Styela clava: one gene and its partners. The protein of the gene in region 1 interacts with the protein of each later gene in a pairwise test. Links are inferred from orthologs where the notes say so. Each region holds a gene or a part of one and is shown in the gene's direction. Other genes may lie near its edges. The genes, in order: peroxisome assembly protein 12-B-like, peroxisomal biogenesis factor 19-like and peroxisome biogenesis factor 10-like.

Region 1 (7,753 bases):
TAGATGTAGGCTTACATTGTAACATTCTAATTTCATACAGTACCATGGTAGTTTCTAATATTGTTATCATTTAATAAAATAGAGTACTTTCACTCATCATTAATTATGCCACATAGCTTTTGTCCACCCATGAAAGAAGAAAATAATACACTTGCCAAAAGTGATATCCTACAGAAATCATCTTTATGATACAAAAGCTTAGGAACAACCCAAATACTATCAAATGTAAAAATAAAATATGTTTTCTGTAAGACAGTTGAATACTATATCTAAACAGTACATTATAGTATAAATACTTTTAGCTCTATTAGTGTAAGCAAAATCTCAATATTCATTAAACCAAGTATTTTATTGATATGCACCAAAGATTTGGGTAGTTTAAAAATTTAACCATGTCAACTTTTTATATTGTTTTGTGTAATAACTTTTAATCTGAACGATCCACTATTTTCTGTAGGTGTAATAGTAATGTCATCCCCAATATTTTCATTTGGATTAATTGCGGATGTGCAATATGCAGACATTGACGATGGGATGAACTACAGCAAAACAAGACATCGGTACTATAGAAAAGGTTTGCAATGTCTACAACATGCAATCAAGTACTGGAATACTTCAGAACAAACTTGCTTCGTATTACAACTCGGAGATATAATAGATGGGATGTGTCGCAATAATGGAAAAAGTAACGAAGCTCTTAATAAAATATATGAGTGTTTGATTCAATATAAAAAACCAATAGCTCACTGTTGGGGAAATCACGAATTATATAATTTAGGAAGAAACGATCTTTTGAAATCTGTTTTACTTCCAAGGTTTTCTATTACAAATGAACCAGCAAAAACAAGTGAAAATTCTGGTGAGATCATATTTTATACAAGCGAGAAAATGCGTCAAGATGGACTTTGTTGTTATCATTTTACACCCGGCAATGGATTTCGTTTCATTGTTCTTGATTGTTACGACATCAGTGCTCTTGGGAGAGAAAATTCTCATCCAAAAAAAGTGACCGCAATGGAAATTTTAAACAAAATGAATCCAAAAGAAGAAAAAAATGATCATACAAGCGCCGTTGATCCGAAATATGTAAAATATAATGGAGGCGTACATAAGGATCAATTAGAATGGCTCGAAAGTATTATACAACATTCACAAAATCATAATGAAATTGTTGTATTGTGCGGCCATATCCCAATACACCCAAATGCAACTGGTGGTAAAATATGTCTGGTGTGGAATAATCAAGACATTTTAGATATAATTCATCGTTATTCATGCATTGTTGCATATTTTGCGGGTCATGATCATGTAGGGGCTTATTTTTGTGATGAAGATGGGGTTCATCATTGTACTTTCGAAGCTGCACTAGAAGCGGTTCCCAAAAGTATTGGGGGGAATGAAACTGCATTTGCAACAATTGATGTTTACGCTGATAAAATGGAAATACGTGGCGAAGGTGACATTAAATCACAAACTTTAAAATATAGAAATATGCAATAGAGTTATAATTTTGTACTATATTCGATGAATTTCAATTTTTATCATTGCTGGGAATAACGCACTTTTAGCAAATTTTAGATATGTCACTTCTTACTGATATGCAAAATTAAACAATATTTTTACTAATAGACCATCAACGAACTGTAACTGTAAAACTGTTATTTAAACTGAAACTGAAGTCCTAAAAATTTTGTCCTAAAGGTGTATTGTCAGTCAATAATTATAAAGACTTATTTACATATTTATGATCATATTGAGTAAGTTAAATTTGTTAATTTGATAATTTCCATTCAAATTCATATATTTGCATTATGCAATTCACTTTTATGCAGGAATTGACAGCACCTCACAGACGATATGAATTATGAATAATATTTTTGGATATGAAATGATGAAAACTATATATTCTAAATTTGGTCATTTGGTCCAGCATATAAATTTTTGTCATAAATCAATATGAATTTGGGTTTGTCTATCCAGAAAATTTTAGCACAGTGATGCATTGTAATTGGTTTTTCTCTTAACACATTTACAATTCGAATGAACTTTGATATTTTTGCCGAGAGCATCAGATATTAGCTGCTCAAAATGAAAAATATTAAATTTTCTAAATTACTGGTAATTCTAAAATGAAGAATATAGTATGAAGAATATAACCAATTTCAAATGTATTCGAACAATTGATTTATTTCGGATTTCATTGCTCGCGACTGCTACAATCATTCAGCCTAATTTTAGGAGTGGGGTGGGTTTTTAGGGTTAGACTATTGATGGGTGTTAGATGCTTTCAGTCACTTTTTTTTTTTTTATTGGCCACTGCCGTTACCTTGGTTTCTGCTTTGGTTCATAATCTCAACCAAGATTTTAATGGTGCATTTGCTTGTCTTTCAGATATTCATATTATTTTTTGCTGTACTGCAGTGATTATGTTTTTATGCCTTATACATTTCATGGCCAAATAATTGATAGTCTGTAATTAAATATCACTAGTACCAAGTTGTGATTGATTAAATGCACTTGTTTGATTTATATTTTAACTTGTCCAGACGGATATGTATTGTTTGTAGTTTTTTCATGAGGTGTTGCCAAATAATTTCATCGGATCATGATCAATATACAAAGAACAGTTTTCGGTGGAATTTCTTCACTTTTTACGACATCTCTACACGTTGTTGCTCATAATCTTAATTTATATAATGAGGATATCAAGTTGTTACCACCCAGTATAAAGAGCAAACTTTTGTATATTTTATCAAAAAGAGGGATTTTAAGTGATGCCAACATAGAATTTTGCTTGCACGCAAGATTAAAAGAAATTGATTTAAGTGAAAGCGATGTCACTGACGAGGCATTGGCGACAATCTCAAAAACATGTATAAACTTGGTAAAAATTGATTTAAATTCTGCAAAAGAAAGCCGAAAGACAATATCTAATGATGGAATTATTAAAATAGCACGAAGTTGTCGTTGGATTCAAGTTTTCTACCTTCGTCGGTGTTTGAACATTGGTGACGAAGCAGTGGTGCAAATAGCTGTAAATTGTAAAAGCATAAAACATCTTAATCTTGGTGGTTGCTCTGGTGTCAGTGACAGAAGTCTACAAGCGCTTGCTGAGAATTGCCCTAATCTTGAAAGCCTGAATGTCTCTTCAACCAAGGTAAAATTGGAACATGTCCACCATGTTTTTTTTTCTCAAGATAGTTTGAATAAGAGGGGACAAGCACTATGGTTTTCTATACAGTTAATGTCATAGAATATAACTAACTTCCTTTATTGAATAAAATCTTATCCTGGGTACAACGGGTTAATGAGAACATCGGCTCTTTCTCCAGCTAGTTATGCTGAGAATAGTTAAAAGTGAGGATTGTTTTCAGAAAAAAATCAGTTATTTGAATTATTTATATTTTGAAATCTTGTACCTCTGACTCCAGTGCGAATTTTATTTAGTAGAAACCAAACTGATGAGCCAAAAAATGCATATATGTCGTTTTGATAGAATAAAATGCCTGCATTATTTAAAGATTAATTTACGATTTTAGGTACTGCATTTTCCAAACTCATTTTACAGAACAGTTATATTGTAAATGTAAACAAATCTTACTTACATGTATAAACTTTTATATTTAGGTATCTGATAATGGTGTGTTTCAAATATGTAAAGGAAAATGTTGCAACACATTGACAGAGTTTCATATGGCATTGTGTCATAATATAACTGATGAAGCTATTGAATGCATTATCGAGTATTGTCGTAAAATTCGAATTTTGATATTTCATGGATGCCCAAAAATCACAGAGAATTCGAGAATAGCATTAGAAGAGCTTCTTGCAAGAGAATGTTCTAATGTGAAGCAACTGACTTGGACAGTGTATTGAGGATTGTTTGCTCAATTTGTTCTCGTGTGGCGAAGCCAGAACCAAATGTATTTGTGATAATACATATTATGTCCAACCATCATATAATTAAACTTATCTTATCGACTGTTACGGAATAAATATATATATAGTTTTTTTTGGTATTCCCAAATGGTGAATACAGTATCACTGTATTGTTGAATCACTGTGTAAAATCACTGTTGTCAGTGCTTTTTTGGAGTCTCCTTCAAAAACAAAGTTTTGTAGCATTTATCATTACAATGAAATAATACTGATATTGCCCTTGGAAGTTTCATGAATTCGTGAAGAGTCATCTGTTTTCGTTTTTAGTGTCAGGTTTTTGTTAGATTTAAAAATTAATCTGTTTTATCAATGTAGAGTAGTGCTGTGGAGTCTCAGCTAACAAGACATTTAAAAAATGACTCCGACACCCCGCTGACAAAAAATTGATACTGACTAAATACAGTGTCTACTTATTGAGTTCCTCCTAAGTTCCTAACTCCCAATTCTGTGAAAAACACATTTTGACTGATTGTCTGTTGAGAATGCTTGGTCATCTTGATGTTTCTTAGTTTATGCTTTGTGTTTAGTTTATGAAATTTTGACTTCAATAATCACAATAGAGGTATGAAATTCAAGTCTCTGTTTGTCTTCAACTTCAGGAGAGTTTGGATCCTCGACTCCAATTTGAATAAAAACATGCCAAACTCAGACTCATTGCTCTTTGTAGCTCACTATGTAGCATAGCTGTGGTGAATGATTTCTTGTCCCTTATATTTTTTCAAAAACAAGTAAATTTTGTGTGTTTTGATATTTTCATAGATGATCGTAGATTAAAGAATCCTAATTATTTATTGTACTTATGAAACTCTAATCTAAAGCCATGGCGGACATGTTTTCTGAAACTTTACAAACAGCTGTTGCAACACAAGAAGAATATCAACTTCCTTCAATATTTGAAGTTTTAGCTCAAGAAAATTTACGAGCCTCTGTGAGACCAGCTTTTGAGCACTTAACTAAAGTAAGTTTGATAAGATTTTAGGTGCGGATTTTTTTACTTTTCGCATAATCATGAGTTACTTCGACAAACAGGTTTTTGGAGAAGCTTACTCTCTCTACCATAATAATCGATAAAATGTAACTGGAAGTCATGCCTGGTTTAGACAAAGTCTGTTTATTTTAAAAGGCTGTGTGCCCTCATTACACAACACATTCTACTTTTAAAAAAATAAAGTGTCTACAAAGGGCGATTCTCGCAAAATGTGAACTTTATATAGGTAATTGTATTTGATTAGTTATCACTGAAATGTATCCAAGTTGTGAAATAATATGCAAAAGCTGTTAAATATGGGCATTGATCTAGTACTTACATATGCAGGCTGTTCTTATAGTATCTGTACAATTTCAAGGGTTTATCATGATAAGCCTTTGAATTGTGAAGAGACTTTGGACACCTTGTGTATCTGAAGTCCCTAATCTGAATTAATCAAATGAAACTGAACTTCATGCTGAAGGGTATTTAAACACCAATTATCAATCATACTTCATAATCAGCTTGTCAATAAACAATATTCTTTTAAGGTTCTTGCTTCTTACAAACCAGCAAGATTTGGTTGGTTACTAGCGTGGTATGATGAAATCTTCACAGCTATTGAGCTTTTGGTGCAACATCATTTTTTATTAGCTCACATTGCATCCTATGCAGAAATGTATTACGGCTTACGAAGGAAAATAAAAGGTTTAAAGGTGCAATCACATAACACACTTGGAACAAGAAGACATTTTTTGACCCTGGTGACTCTGTGTATTATCCCATATATTGAAGAGAAATTAAAGAAAATGTATGATAAAATTGCGGACCGACGGGAGACGCAGGGAAATCAATGCACTGTGACTATTATGGAAAGACTCATTTTTCGTTTATATCCAATTATGTTCTCATCTTGGGAATTTTGGAAATTATATCTTCAATTCAAATATGCAATTCATGAAAATAAATACCCTGATCCATTTTTGAAATTATTGAGAATAAAACTGGTTGTCGAAGATCCCCAAGCTGCTTCTCAAGCAAGGTATGTCGTTATTTTACTTATAGAAAAATTTGACTTTACTTTTCTCTAGTCATCTGATACCCATATGAAAATATGTATGTCTTGTATCCAGGTATTCAGATATGGTGAAAACAAAACCTTGTTCTGAACACAAACTTCATTACTTCAGCTTTATGGGGTTGCTTGCATTTTCTATACGTAACAGAAAAAAAGGAATCTATAAATTTCTTTGAAAATTCTACTAAAATGAAGAAAATATATTCAACACGTAAACATATGTTTATTTATGATTGTACCCAAAAGTTTCTAAGGATATGATAATCTAGGACGATTTGCACGAAAGTTATTTTCTATCTAGTATATGTTCCGCATTACTTGGGTTCTGTTCATTTTGAATCACTCTGTATATTGTAATTTTCAGTCTTTTCGATAAAACAATACAACTCATTATTAGTACGGTATATTGGCCAGCTGGCTAGATTTTATTAAACCTCTTGCGCATACTTTTTGGTAGTCTGATTCTTTTTCAATGTTTAATTTGCCTGAAAATCCACATTGTTTTTGCATGATGTTTAAAAATAAGAGAATTTTTTTGATAAACTTAAACAATCATCCATGGAACAAATAAATGAATAACCCTTTTGTTTTATAGCGGGAATGTTGTTAGCCGAGCTTTGACAAAGATGATTGCTGGTGGAGTGCATGCTGGAGTCTTTGTTCTTCAATTCATAGACTGGTTTTATCATGATGCTAATCAAGCAACAGTGCAAAAGGTAAGATATTCGGATAGTATATTCATACTTCATACATAGCATTGCAGCAAGTGACTATGCTAACTTCCTATCTGTTCAGCAATATACAAGGTCAATAGCAATTCTGCATACTTCCTTATTGTATTGTGTGTAATTTGAGGTTGTTAAAAGTTATGTATCAAGTAAAATGGAACTTTTCATTCATTCCACACAAAGCATATCGATATAAGTGCTGTGATAAAAACTTAATTGGCGGTGTTTTGCAATTTTTTGTGCATGTGTCTTTTTAGGGCATATAATACTGCTACAGTTTGATGAAAAGTCATATGTACCACGTGTACGGAGTCTGGTGAAAAATACATGGTGAAAAATACACCCTGTTTCATTTTGACTTTGACCCCAGGTTGGAGGAAAATTAGAAGCTGACTCAGCTCGGAGAAGACTAATTTTCATAGCAAAAACTTGAGCCATTGATTGCCTTCTATTGAGAAATCATACTGAATTATATAAAAAATTTTGCTCCGATCATCACCATTACAAGTCTGAAACAACGACCCAGTAAAATTTGAAATTACAACTCCACTCCACAGCCCAGATATGAACAGTGACATTTCACTCCAAGAAGATTGAGATATAGAACTTGATTCAGCCAGTATGACCTAATACTCACCCCAGCGAAATATTCCTGTATATTGGTATTATAATATACTTACCTAGTTATTTTATTTAGTTGACACAAGCACCGATTCCTCTTCCGCCGCATGAATCATGCGACAAAACAATCATTCCAGTTCGGGACAACATAACTTGCCCTCTATGCAACAGGTTTGATTCCTTCTATATATTAAAGCATGCATATTAAAATTCAAATCGTTTTGGTGTTCCCCAAGTTTAATTCAGTTCAGTGGTTCTTAACCCAGGAAAAATACCTCACCAAGTGAGGAATTTCACAATTCCCACTTTTTGTGATACAGTAGTTTTAGATATAGACCAGTGACTAAACAAAGAAATAAGCTTCGATTTTGAATCCGACCTACATTGTGCAATGCTGTATTTAGTAAGTCGAAGACAAAA
Region 2 (7,725 bases), on another chromosome or scaffold:
ATGGCAATTTCATTTTTTGTTGCATACTAAGGATAGAACATTTCGAAAATACCTTGAAATTTATTTTGAAAAAATCTCATTTTTAAATAAACTCTATAGTGAAATTCTGAAATTCAAAATTTTTGACTATTAGGTACCTATTTTATAACAGTGATTTGAAAGGTTGAATACTACAACATATTTTATATTATTCCTGGAAAATGGATACTGCATGGATTTTAGAACTTCATAATGTGAAATTAATTTTCACTTTCGTAATTAATAATCCTGGCCCTCACCTTTAATATGCATGAATCATTGTTTTTTAATTGTAAAGGGTTTCTTTTATTCTCTTTTCTCATCTCTGAATAACCTGTTTTTAATAGATGTTGGACCAACCATCTAATAAGAATCTTACGAAAAAGCCTAAAAAATGTCTAAAATTCATCTGTTATGAAGTCATGCCATTCAAATCTGCTTTGTCATTCGGTATAGTTTTAAAAGCATCAATTAGAGGAACCCTCATCAATCTTTATCTTCGAATTATAGAGTCCAAATTGAACCTAGAAAACTAGACAATAAATACATTTGCTTCTTTGCTCTAAACAAGGATTTAGATAAGCAACCTTCTGAAGCTGAATCTTTCCATTTATCATATCAAAGCTCACCTTATTTCTCCCACTATGGGTTACACGGGGCTAAAACCTGGGGTAGTTGATCTTTCTGCTATCAATAAGGTCTCAATTTAAATCAGTGGTTCTCGAACTTTTTAAGCCGCGCTCCTTTTTTAGAATTTGTCAAGTCTTGCGCCCCACCTGAAAAATACTAGCTAACGATAAGCTTCAAATATCAGATAGTAAGGCGATAGTATGTTTTATTCAAAAACACGTTGAAAATATGGATGAAACACAAATAACCAAAATAAAAGAATCTAAATATCCAAAATAAGGCGAGCAAGATCAAATCTAACCTATTTATATTTCCAATTAACTTACGTCCCCTCAAAAAATTGTGGCCCATCGTTTGAGAACAACTGATTTAAATCATCCCAGTTCTTCAACATGAAAATTTTTTTATTAAATAAATTTAAACTAATAATATTATTTTTATTTTTTAGGCTCACTGAAGCAGACGTGATGACTAAAGACATCTTCAAATTTCACAAAACCCAAGTTACAATTTCAGTTTATAACGACCAATTTAGAATCCGTCCCACAATCAATATATATAATAGTGAAAATGATTTGATGCAGCTAAAAAATGCTGTGGTAACATATTTGAATGAAAATTATGCCGATTATATTGAATATAAATTGCCTTGTAATTAGAAAGGTGTAATGTTATAACAGGGTATATCATTTTAACTGGGGACCTGTTAGTTCCAAATATACCCAATTTTGGTGCTTGAAATTTATGGTGAAAATTATTGTTTGCGTATTTGCCTTTAATTGTTTTTTGTATAGCAGCCGCTTGAATCTGAGATGATTAAAAGATTTTTCAAAGTGGTGGTTAAATGAAATTTAGAATTTCACTGTTTTTTTTAACTAATAAAATTAACTCTTGTGCTGTTTCATATATGGTTTAACTGTTTAATATATTAATTTATAAAGTCCGAGCTAAACTTCAATATTTAGGAATAATAATTTCTTCCCCAGAGTAAACTCTTTACTCTACATTGGTTGACAGCCCTTTGATATTTGTTGAGTAGTGCCTATGTATATTTTACTTTTGATCAAGTGCCTTTTAAGACTTTGTGATTATAACTTGAATCAGACTTTTGCATGTATTGTGATTTCTGTGAGCCAGGGTTGGTGTCCATAAAGTCTTGTCACAATTTCCATTTCGTTATGAAGTCATTTCTTGATATATGTCAACCATTTTATTAACACTCGCAACCTTTGTCGGCATCGCCAATATAAGGCTGACAAATCAAACCCTGTTACGAAAATTCTTTTTCGTTATATCAATGATTTCTGTAAGTGTAAAAAATATATGAAAACCTGTAACTGCATTTTCATAATGGACTGAAATTTCACCCAATATTCACTATGCATATTCAAATACTGTCTTCTCCCGTGTGGAAATGAGCAAATCTACGAGATTTTTTAATAAAGACAAACTTAGTTGTAGCATATTCCTTTTTTCATTTCAAACTATCCCATTTCTGCATAAATTGCACTAAATATAATACAGCTATCACCAATTTGCCTCATTACATTTATTCTATTAATTATACCCACAGTGTATCATATATAGTCGATTATTAATAAATATTGTTACTGAGTATATATTTCTATGGTTTTAATTATGTTAATGCAATTGCTTTTGTGCAGTGAAAGAACAAATCAATTCTATTTCATATTCTGATAATACAAAAATATGCATGTGCAATTATTAATAGCAGGTGAAAATTAAATTAAAAATGCTATGCTAATATGCTTCATGGTCTGTTGATTTTGGGCTTTTTAATGGGGATGCCGAAACAAATAAGGTAGATAAAAGGGAATTTTTATATTTATCTTCAAAAGAGGTATAAAATCTTTCAAACATCAGCTTCCCATATGGTTAACAGTCCCAACCATATCTTGCACTGCTGTAGTTCACCATTACCTTTTTCACATGCATTGACTCGATGGTTGCAGTTTGTGAACAAATCTACAAAGGTGAAGTAATAGGCAGCACTGTGGATCAGGATTTGAATCCATGAACTCTTGTAGTCAGAGGTGTGATGGTAATTTACCTCTCACCCTTAAGAGGGACTGATATGATAAGAAGGGGTATTTCAACCCATTATTAGTATTGGTTTACCTCCTTGTCATTTTCCGTCACCTGAAAGATTGGAACAAGAAAAAGCATTTAGATCAATGAAAAATTATTTCCAGCATAAATGTATGTAAAATGAACTTCGTCTCGTAAATATTGTGCTTGCAAGTAGCACTTTCTGCAAGACATACAAGCGCATATCGTTTCAGAATTGCACTGTCACATTTGGGCTCCCAAATATAGTTGAAGTAGGTATAGGTAAATAGACGGTGTGGCTAAGCGCTCGGAATTCAACCGCACTTCTGATTACCCTGTGTGGGGATAAAGGATTGCTGGGCTTCTCGCTGCCGTAGGTTGTTCACATAAGGGTGGTTTTCACCGAACCACTGGTTGGTTACGCCTTCCTCGACCACCAAGTCCATGCATCCGAAACAAATAACTGACTAACTAATCCCATACCCGACATGGAATTGTAACCGGACGAGTGGCCGTGGTTCGTCACATGATTAAGCCGTTAAGTCGTCTCATTCCTTTCCTCCCACCCTGGATATATATATATATATGCAAATTCAATTTTAGTCGTGGTCGTTATAATAAGGAAACAGAAAAATGTATGTATGTATGTTTATTTGCCTCAAAAATGTAACAGTGTCTGCATAATAATTAAACAGTAAAACAGAGACGGGATAGATACATGTTCAAGACCTTACTGGTCTAAGATACAGTTGTGCGACATGTACCCCTAGAATGTGCCCCCGAAGTGTGCAATCTTCAAAATCTATAGATTTCAAACCAGACATGAATTTATTTGGTACCCTACAATTTAAAAAAAAATGCATAACTTTGCAAATCTCAGGCTCAACAGAATTAATTGCGAGTATAAATATATATTATGGAGACATTTTCATGCAGGTTCCGGATTTCATCCGGAGCCACTCCTGCACAATACCAACGCTCGATCGGATATTTCACCTCATTGCAAAACATTACTCGCTACGCGATTTACTCACCTGCAATCTGTTATATTTTGTCGTTATTGCTGCATTATTTCAAAATATTGATTACTTCTACGTGTTTAAAGTGAAGAAAAAACGTTTAAAATGGATTTTGATGCAAACGCTTTGCAGGATGTCACGGAACAGCTGAAAAATAATCCAGATCTTGCAAGAATGCTGATAGAAGAACAACAGAAAATGGAAGCGCAAAACCAATTGAAGGTCATCGTCAATAAACTGACATCAGACTGTTGGAATATATGTGTTGATAGAGTTGGAAACAGCCTTGGAAGACAAGAAACATGTCTCACAAACTGTGCTGAAAGGTTTTTAGAATCTGACCAGTTTATAAGGCAGAGAATGAGCTCTCAAAAACAGTAATCATTTTTGAAAAACCTAATTACATTTCAACCTTTTAGGAAATTGAAAGTCAGGATAAAAGCCTTTTTGCTACTTGAAATTATATCCTCCTGAGATCATTAATTGTTGTCTGAATCCAAAATGTTTAAATATGAGTGTATTTTCCGTATGTTCTGCGATACTTATGTCAGGTTTGGTCAGCTTCATTCAGACTTTGACACGATTTGGAACCACCAAGGCGTGACTGATCAGAATATTCTTGCCTGAAAATAAATGTGTCAGTGCTGCTATTTTTCGCTTTTTGACTCCCAGGTTATTTTGAGGTCAAATTGTGTTAATTTAACTAAGCCATTATTGTCTTTTGAAAAATAGCGTCTCCTATAGTGTACAGTCTGACAGTGTACCACACTTGGAGACTAGACCCCATTTTATAATTCCTCATGGCCATGTAATTTTGTTGTCATTTCCAATCTGTGTTACCAACGATCCGATCATTGTTACAAAATGTACTTTCTGAGTTTGAATCAGTTCTAAATTATTTTCCTGTAATTTTCTTTTTGTGTCTTTTTAGTCAAAAATAATTAAATAATAATGGATGCGGATTTAGATGATTTGCTGAACGATGCTTTGTCTGACTTTGATAAAAAGCCAACAGAAGTAAAAGTACCTGTAGAAGGAAGTGAAGAGAAAAAAAATTCACCAGGTTCTTCGAAGGTAAAATGCTGATAGAATGAATTTGGAGAACCATTTTTTTATGCACAGTTTTCTTTGCACCTCTTTTGTATGGCACCTTTTACTCCAAACATGGCCAGGGATGATGCGAGGCGCAGTTCTTACCACTCCATGGCAGCTCCTGCCACAAACGAACCGCGGCAGCTCTTGCCATGGTTTTATAGCGCTATTCAGTATTCAGTTATAACGGTATATTCACAAATTGATATACCCAATTTTAATTGATCATGCGAAATTATATCTACTCAAACCCTAACCCTAACCCCAAATCCATCAAAACTATCCATAAGAAAAACGTTCCAACTTACCCAATATTTATCACCATAAGGGACAGCCCTGTCTTTACGGCCCACCTGCTGATGATGGCCGCTACGGCCAAACCCATGGCGACTAACTTTCTAGCTGCCACAAACCAATGACAGGCTGCCATTGCCGCGGCAGCAAATTGAAAACCAATGGCAGGTAAAATTTTGCTGCCGTAACCACGGCAGGTGGGCCGTGAAGGCAGGGCAGTTCCTTATGGTGACAAATATTGGGTAAGTTGGAATGTTTTTCTTATGGATACAGTTTGGATGGATTTGGGGTTGGGGTAGTAGTAGATATAATTCCGCATGATCAATTAAATCTGGTACATTAATTTGTGAATATACCGTTAATACTGAATAGCGCTATAAAGCCATGGCAAGAGCTGCCGCAGTTCGTTCGTGGCAGGAGTTGCCATGAAGTGGTAAGAACTGCACCTCCAACCGGTACTGAGCTGCTATTTCTCTAAAGGCTTTAAAACAAGCATTCTGTGACATGCAAAAGGCACAATGACTTTTGAAAAAACCAGAATACTATCTGTTTGGAAATTTATAAAACCCTCTGGTTGTATTGATGGATATGGAGGTTGAATTTAAGATCCAAAGATGCGACGAGTAGCGATTTTTCTTTTGAATCGGCTTCTTTTATAATAAGGACCTTTATTAGTTTCCTCAAAGTAAAACTGTAGAAATGTCTGTAAAACAATATTTTTATATTCAGTCTTTAGAACCTCCAAAAGATGTTCCTGCCAGTTCACCCTCGTCTTCAACCTCTCAGAATGTGAGCGTGCCCCCTCCATCAGAAATATTTGATCAATTTTTTGACAATGAAGTTTCTCAAAGACTTCAACAAGAGTGGGAATCCGCAATGAAAGAATTAGTTAATGATGACCCAGAACTTGCGTCACAGTTGAAGAATCTTCCAAGTACTATGGAAAATGCTGCGTCAGGTATGATATGAACAAATGATATATATCAGTATCAGTTCTCCAATTTCAAGATGCCCTGACATTTAGTTCAATAAACACCATTTGATGACACCATTAGCACATAGTTTGGTTCAGTGTGCTTTATCCGCTTCAGTGTCTTTTGTTCGCTGCCTCTCCTAGATATGGCAAAAAACTGATATGGGTTTGGAACCTATCGATTCTATATAAATAAGCTGCTATCCCATTATACATAGGTTCAACTTGGGGACATTATGCTACAACACACTGGGGGAGGCCCCCAATTATGCCTCAGGAAATTGGCTCTCTGGGCAAGATAGCCAAGATATTTAAATTGAGTCTAATGAAGGAAATTTGTCTTTATACACCAATAAGAGGCGACAATGGTGTTTTAATCCAAGATTTCAATCTGCGATGCTAACATACTGGTAGTTAGGTACAGCGCTCTAGGCATCATAGGGCCTTTTTTACTACCCTGTTCAAATCTAATGTTTATTTTGTCTTTTGTTATATTTTTTAGGGGGTGCCGTGCCTTCTGCAATGAGTTCTTCAAGCAATACCGGGCCATCTGGAAGCAGCGCAGGTCAACGACAAGCTAGCCCTGCAGATTTGAACAAAGTGATGGAAGACACAATTTCTGGAATTGGGAGTAGCGCTGATGAACTAAAGAATATGACAGGTGCTACCGAAGAGGAAAAACTGCTCCAAGAAATGAGAAATTTAGGGATGGGGGGAGGGTTGAGTGACATGATGGGTCAAATGGGGGACATGGAAGGGATGGAGAATAATTTTATCTCTATGATGGAAAACATGATGGAGAATTTATTGTCTAAAGACGTTTTGTATCCCACAATGAAACAAATTTCGGAGGTATACCCTGGCTGGTTAGAGTCTAACAAGGATAAAGTACCTGAAACAGACTTCAAGCGCTATGAGCAGCAAAGTCTTGTTATCGTTAAAATTTGTAAAAATTTCGAGGCCGATAATGAAAATGACACCAAAGAAGTGAAAAAGCAAAGGCTGAACGAACTTATGGCTTTGGTAGAAAAAATGCAAGAATGTGGCAACCCTCCCCAGGAATTATTAGAAAAATGTGGTGGGGAGACACCCATGGACATGAGCAGAATATTTGGGGCTGGAGGAGGGGGATTCCCAGGTGGCGGGAACATGTTTGGGCCAGATATGAATCCTGAAAATTGTGCAATTATGTGATTAATTTTCTAATTATTTTTAAATATTTTCAATTGATTATTTATTGATAATTATTAATGTGTTTCAATTTGCTTCATTTAAATTTCATTTCATTAACACTGATATAATTTTTTAAACAAGATGATTGTCAACTATAAGTGTGTTGCCAGATTTATTTTTCAAATTTGTATCGCTGGTTTGAGTTGAAATGGGATTGAAGCCTTGTTTGACGGTGTCGACACCCACCTAAAAAGATCATGGGACTAAAAAGTTGTTTGGGAAAAAAGAAGACTCCCATTCTGATGACTCAGTAAAAAAAGTTAGCGGGATGATGGTTTTATTCAGTTTGAATACCACTATAATGCTAGAAATGATGCCGATCTCCACAGTTCTGAAAGGTTTTACAGGTTTATTTCTTATTAAATTTGGAAAAAAGTTTTTAGAGGTGACTTCGAT
Region 3 (6,515 bases), on another chromosome or scaffold:
GCAACCATTAATCGAAAAGACAGCTTGATCAAGTGACGGGCAAGGAGTTTCGCGAGATTTCAATTCAGGTCCGATTAGGGTAAAGATGATCTATGTGCGTGAGCCTCGGTTATAGTGGTAAGGGTAACCATCCGGCAATTCTGGGAGTCGCCCACGACAGCGGGGAATCCAGCGGTCATCCCCTGCGTAACAGCGCTATGCAGGGTAACCATATGTCCCATAACCATTGCCCATCTCTAACGCTAATATTAATCCTGGTAATTAGGTGGGTAACTTTGACGGATTTGCAAAATTGAATATCTACCTACGTGTGACAGGCGGCAAACTTAGATACCTGTGCAGTGTTTTAAAAAACGCAGGTTGATGTGTGATCAATTTTAGGTCGTTCAAATTCGTTAATGCGAAAATATGTTGGGTGACTTTCCGGGTAGGCCTTTAAATTAAATTGGGCAATGTAAATAAACCTCGCATTTGCATTTTAATCATCTTACTTGGAGATGAGTGGCCGCTTCCGATCAGCTTGTCAGTTGGCCCTGGGGACAACTGCATATAGTTTTTACGATGCACATGGAGGAGGAGATAAAACAAATACCATCAGTAAATGATTGAAAAATATATATACATGGTGTTCATATTGTCCCTTTTCAACTTTGTTATAAAGTTAATCAAGTTTGTTGTTTTATACTTACTTCATACAATACATCCGAGGGCCAAACCAATATATGACATCAATAAACTCCCTTTGCAATTTTAAAATTTTTCAAGCCTTCATGGGTAGGATAGGATTTACATATTTATCCCGGGGGAGTGGAAAGCCGATAGGACGGCTTATCCATATGGCGAACCACGGCCTCTCGTCCGGTTACCATTTCAAGTCGGGTATGGGATTAGTTTTTACTGTATTGTTTGTTTTCGGAAGCATGGACTTGGTGGTGGAGGAAGCCGTAACCGACCAGCGGTTACGTGAACCACCCAACGACGGCGAGGAGTCCAGCAATCCTCTCGCACATAACCATCCCTGCATGGGATTCGAACCCGCGAACCCACGCAGAGTAATTAGAGGTGCGGTGGCGAGCGTATTCCTAACGCTTAGCCCGTTGAGCCACACCGCCGCGGAAGGAAGATTCTATTGAAAGGAAGATTTTATTGAAAACATATTGCCAAGCTGATTATAGTTGGGGTCAAATGCCAAGTTGCCCAACCAAAGTTGCCAGAATTGGGTGCATGAAGAGGTGGGCGAGACCAAAGATGCATGAACTTGATAGCGAACGCAGTCGTGAGCAGAGGCGAGCCATGAATTTTCAAAGGGGGGGGGGGGAGGGGGGTCCAAAATTTCCAATTGCTCAATTAGACCGCAACAGCTAGTGGATTCGGCCGAATTCCCGAAAACGTAGGTTTTCAAGAGTATTGAGAGTCTAAAGTGCGTCCTAAGTTACGAAGAGAATTGCTACGTATGGTACAGAAGAATGTTTTCATTTATATATCAAAGAAATGAGGGTCGTTTGTGCAGTAAATGCGAAAAAAGCCTCACCCTTACTGTAACACACAGAAGCAAAGACATTTGCGATATTAGACAAACCTTAAATCCTATATAAACCAACACACAGCAGCTTTTGGCATCTCAATGGTTGCCCGTAACTTTGCTTATAGATGAGTCACATTTTCTCTCTACCTCAAATAAAAAAAAAATATATGAAATACTCGCGTGCACTTCATGGATGTCAGGTGGATAACTATTTCCCGGCTTTAGAAGACCACAAAATTGTTCACTATTTCATATAAAAGCTTTATTCCAGTAGAAAATTCACTGCATCAAGAAACTACTTTTAAAATTGCAATATTAAACAATGTTAAAATATTACAAACAAAGTAAGCAACGAAGTACGACTCAAGAATAATCTCTTCCAAGTGCACAAAAGAAAGCTGCATGTCACCATCCATTTATTTCAATGTTCAAGCGTGGATTACGTTACTACTGTAACATTTCAGAACTGGGGCACAATTAGGGATGACATTCAATAGGATATTGCTTAGATCTATATGGCAATACTGATAGTTATTGAGATCTTAATTAAACTCCGGAAGAGCCTCAATTGTACAGTGACCCATTGCTTCCATTAGTTTAGGTTTGAAATGTGGCTGGGTACCGCAAATTTCACATCCCAAGGCATGATCTTTTCAAAATAGCACCATTCAGCTAGGAATTACCCATACAAGTTGGTAAACATAAATATAATACTAATGTCAATGATGGGCAATTCAGGAAAATTGAACATGGAGGATTAGAATACCAAAGACATCTTATGATCATATCCGGATTAAAAAGCCAATGAATTAAAACTTCCCAGAATAATTCCATCCAAATAAACCAGGCCATCTTTTCAGTACACTGTGAATGTTCGCAAATTCTACAAATTTTATATTATTTAATAAAGTTGCTACATATAAAGTGGAGATATAAAAGCTACCAGCATTTCTCAAACTATTTTTGTTCCGGTACATCTATGACCAATTCAGTCGCAATTTTGATTCTTGTCCCGCAGTATTGCGAAAAAGCTTGCTGAACATAGTTTGAGAAACGCTGAATTAGTGCATAACAATCAAGCGTATACTTGATAAATTTAGATGTTGTCTGCGTAGCCACGAAGCAGAACATTCGAAATGGGCAACAATCAACAAACATTAGCTATATGATTATTCAATAAGCAATTCAAAGTTTATCAAGTGAAAAAAGTTGGTATGAATACAAAAAAGTCACTCGTTCGAAAATAAAATTGTTCTCAGTTACAATCTATTGAAAATAAAATCAATAAAAAAATCTGACTATTACCAATAAAAACAATGCTATGGGATCAGTAATTAATTACTCAAGAAAAGACCCAAGGTGAAAACTGCCTCAGCTTGAATAGCATGTGTGTCTCTTCTATTCGAGTCGAAAATATTATCCTTGATTAGTTGAGACATGATGCAACAGTTGAGGTTATTTTATCTTAAATAAATTACAGACATGTTTTATCTCTTTGTTATTTCGCTGCTTGATAACCAGCTTTGGTTACAGCTTCCCTCCCCAGTACATTGTGTGTTAAATTTTGCAAGCTATTTTTATACTGGATGAAGAAACTAAACTTGACGAGTGACCATTTTCAGCAAACGATAACACACGCAATAAAAAATACAACTAAAGAACAGACTTCATTTAAAGTTAAACCATAAGTAGAAAAAATAAGGTGTGAGTTATAATGTTATACTGCAATGAAGCGGAAGCGGTAACACCCAAGTGCAGAAGTACAGTCCATCAAAAGTGGAGCAATTCTGACGAAAGTTATGGTCTGTATTCTTCCAATTCCAAGAACCAATGGTTCCTTGATATTTGAATTGAAATTATTACAGACATACTAAAACAGAATTGTAGCCAAATATGACAATATCTTTCAGCTCTTATTTTTCATAGTTCTACCAGGTTGAGGTACAAATATATTACTTACCTAATTAATTAAACAGCTGATAATCAAGGTGTTCAAAAACTCTTGGTACAATTTTGTTATGAACCAAATTTTCAATATATCTCATACAGGTATATATTTTCTAGATATCACTGTGACATTGTTTTGAGCAAGCTCTCAACCTGCTCTCTTGTGTTTTCTGGTGAAGTGACTGTTTTCCCAATTGTTTTCGGGTCTTCAAAAATTTCGTGATCATTCCCACCTGGCATTGTTTTGTCACCAAAGAAATAAATTTTCTTAAAATTTTCATGTTCAATATGTTTTAGACAATAACGCTTATCCCAACCATCTGGAAAAACATCAAAACTAATCTGTCCACCAATGGAAAATGTCATTCCCTTGCCTTTAAACTCTTTACGTAGAGTTTCAACAAAGTCTTTGCGGATATTGTGCTTCTTGTCATACTCAAAGAAATCTACTCGTTCTTGCTGTGAGCAGCTACGTCCAACAGGGCATACATTGAGCATACCCTTCCTGAATTCAATAAAAGTCCCTCGTTTTAGTGGCAACTCTAAATTTGCCATGTATTTGAGACAGAAGTTGATAAACTTTTGAATAAGCTCTTCACCTAGATGAGATTGTATATTCGCTTCATGAATAAGTTTCCCATCTTTGTAGGCAACAAGTCCATTCTCTGAGAACAGATAGTCATAGCTATTTGCAACTTCATCAGCAGAAGATCCAAGTTGTTCGGTGATTTTTGAAAGATCGGAACCGCCAACAATTCCAACAACGACTTTTTTGCGAATCTGGCGCATGAACTCTTTCATTTCATTGGAAATTTTTTGCCTAGGCGCTGTGAGAGTTCCATCAACATCAAAAAGGAATATAACGTCTGTATTTCTGCATGTCATATCGCCCATTATACTTTATCTAGCACCCAAATTCTGAAATTACAGCCAAAAACTTGCGATCGCTGGCAAAATAGAATAGGTTATTCCTGTCGACGTGTTTGGCATAACGTGTGATCGAATTTGATTGGTTGCCTGGGGGTACACGCCCACGAAGCTCAATCGACCGAAGAATTTTGATTTTCAGTAAAACACATTTCTGTAAAATATTCTTTTGAAAAATATAATTCTAGAATATGTTACAATTTTAAATTAATGAAGTAAATACAAAAACGAGTAAATAAAAATACAAAACAACGTATCATTTATTTTCGGTCTGCAATTGTTCTATTTAGTCAAACCGTGGTTGTGGTTATTTTGTGAAGTCCGATGCATTGTTTTCATTCCTGTCTGGGTGAAGATATAATTTCAGGATAGGATTTTCATGATATTTACATTAAATAACAATTTTTCATGTTATAAGTAAATAAATTAAACAGGCAAATTGAAAAAATATAAAATTGAGCATCGTTCGGTCTGCAATTGTGATGTTTAGTTAAACCGGAGGTATGATGATCTTGCAAAGTCGACTGCTCTGACTTTATATCTCTTCGTTTGTTTTGCTTGCAATTCATAAATTACAGAATTATGCTAAGCTGTATGTAAGATTTGTTCTGGCATTGCGCGGTAGCAATTTTTCCCACCATTTTCGCCTATAAGAATCAGAAATGTCTCTCACGCCTTCAGAATCGTTGGCTCAAATCTCCTCTGCACAAAAAGACGAGTTTTACCTCAATTATCTTAGAGGTCTGTTCAACGATGGCACGAAAAAGATTTTCGGGCCACAAACAACAATAAGATGGAACAAAGAAATCCAATTACTGTCGGATATGGCTTATTTTGGACTCACAACTTTGGGAGACTTGCAGACATTAGGAGAGGAATACACTCAAATTATTCAAGTTGGTCCCACAATGAACCGGCTGCCAAGTCGTTTTAGTAGACTTATAATGATTGCTCTTCATACTTTATTACCATATTTAATTGACAAATTTCTATGCCATCTTGAAAACAAACTTGCAAAAAGCGAACATTTACATAATCATACAAATTTGCAAGATATGGTACAAAAAGTGCGATTAATTTTCAATGTTTTAAACCGTTTACATTTATCTGCCTTCTATTTGCAAGGGATATATCACACCATGTCAAAACGATTTGCTGGCATTCAATATGTAAAATATAACCTCCCTGGAATGTCACAGCAGCCTGAAAGCTCGGCTTTTAAGCTACTAGGTTATATGTCCTTAGTACAATCATTGATCGCACTAGCTATGCATGTTATTTCTATTCGCAATGATTTAAAGCCAGTAATAAGCAATAGCGAAGCTGAAAAATTTGGCATCAGTCATTCAAGTAAAGCTTCCATAATTGAAGAAGACAAACCCGATATGAAATGTAGTTTATGTTTAGAAAAGAGAAATCGTACAACTGTGACCCCTTGTGGGCATTTATTTTGTTGGAAATGTATTCATTCCTGGATAAATACGAAACCAGAATGTCCGATTTGTAGAGAAAGCTTGAAGCCAAATAAACTTGTTTGCTTAATGAATTTTGAATGAGTATTTAGCGCCAGATACAATAATTCACTATTCTGAATCTGTCCCCAAAATAGATTGCGTTTTAATATCACAGACATATATTGCAATGCTCACCAGCTTAAATCCTTATTGGAAAGTATCTCATGTGTTTTTAAGTTATATTCTATAGGCTATCACTTGTGTTTGTGTCATTTGTGGCTCGAAAATTTTGTGTCCTGATTGTCCAATGCACCCAGGTGCAACATTTTTGAGACACCCTATTTTTTGTGCCAAGATGAAGTTATCTCTCTGTATTAATAAATTATCTGTCTATTGAACATAAAATATATTCTAAAACCTTCGAGAATGCTCAATCATCATAAATTGCCAATTCTGATTTTTCAAGTGTTGATCAGCATAGCCAATACCAATTTTGTTGTTCAAATTATTCAAAATCATCACGAAGTTTGGTGATTTACTGTGTAAATATAACCAGTGTATTCTAATGGGTGGTTCTGAGCTTCCCACACCTTTAAAAGGTATCTGAGAATCACATTTTTGTAATATGATAACTTGTAGGTTTCTGAAACACCCACTTCAAT

What was found.
Region 2: the proteins of peroxisome assembly protein 12-B-like (region 1) and peroxisomal biogenesis factor 19-like interact in a two-hybrid assay, tested with the Homo sapiens proteins (4 studies listed by BioGRID and IntAct, with this or other methods). The link is inferred for Styela clava from reciprocal best matches to the Homo sapiens genes PEX12 and PEX19.
Region 3: the proteins of peroxisome assembly protein 12-B-like (region 1) and peroxisome biogenesis factor 10-like interact in a two-hybrid assay, tested with the Homo sapiens proteins (4 studies listed by BioGRID, with this or other methods). The link is inferred for Styela clava from reciprocal best matches to the Homo sapiens genes PEX12 and PEX10.

The regions. Positions count from the first base shown.
Region 1 is NC_135261.1:12,937,322-12,945,074, reverse strand, and holds the start of peroxisome assembly protein 12-B-like, read left to right. Parts: upstream 1-4,647; 5' UTR 4,648-4,759; coding exon 4,760-4,897; intron 4,898-5,457; coding exon 5,458-5,948; intron 5,949-6,579; coding exon 6,580-6,700; intron 6,701-7,409; coding exon 7,410-7,504; intron 7,505-7,753. Other genes in the region: manganese-dependent ADP-ribose/CDP-alcohol diphosphatase-like, read left to right, coding at 469-1,500; protein AMN1 homolog, read left to right, coding at 2,606-3,157, 3,628-3,876. UniProt on the Homo sapiens protein: Component of a retrotranslocation channel required for peroxisome organization by mediating export of the PEX5 receptor from peroxisomes to the cytosol, thereby promoting PEX5 recycling.
Region 2 is NC_135254.1:4,399,209-4,406,933, reverse strand, and holds peroxisomal biogenesis factor 19-like, read left to right. Parts: upstream 1-4,670; 5' UTR 4,671-4,688; coding exon 4,689-4,811; intron 4,812-5,852; coding exon 5,853-6,081; intron 6,082-6,598; coding exon 6,599-7,290; 3' UTR 7,291-7,428; downstream 7,429-7,725. Other genes in the region: uncharacterized protein LOC120332696, read left to right, coding at 1,097-1,307; uncharacterized protein LOC120332725, read left to right, coding at 3,843-4,118. UniProt on the Homo sapiens protein: Necessary for early peroxisomal biogenesis. Acts both as a cytosolic chaperone and as an import receptor for peroxisomal membrane proteins (PMPs).
Region 3 is NC_135257.1:20,076,405-20,082,919, reverse strand, and holds peroxisome biogenesis factor 10-like, read left to right. Parts: upstream 1-4,919; 5' UTR 4,920-5,061; coding exon 5,062-5,955; 3' UTR 5,956-5,996; downstream 5,997-6,515. Other genes in the region: phosphomannomutase 2-like, read right to left, coding at 3,593-4,366.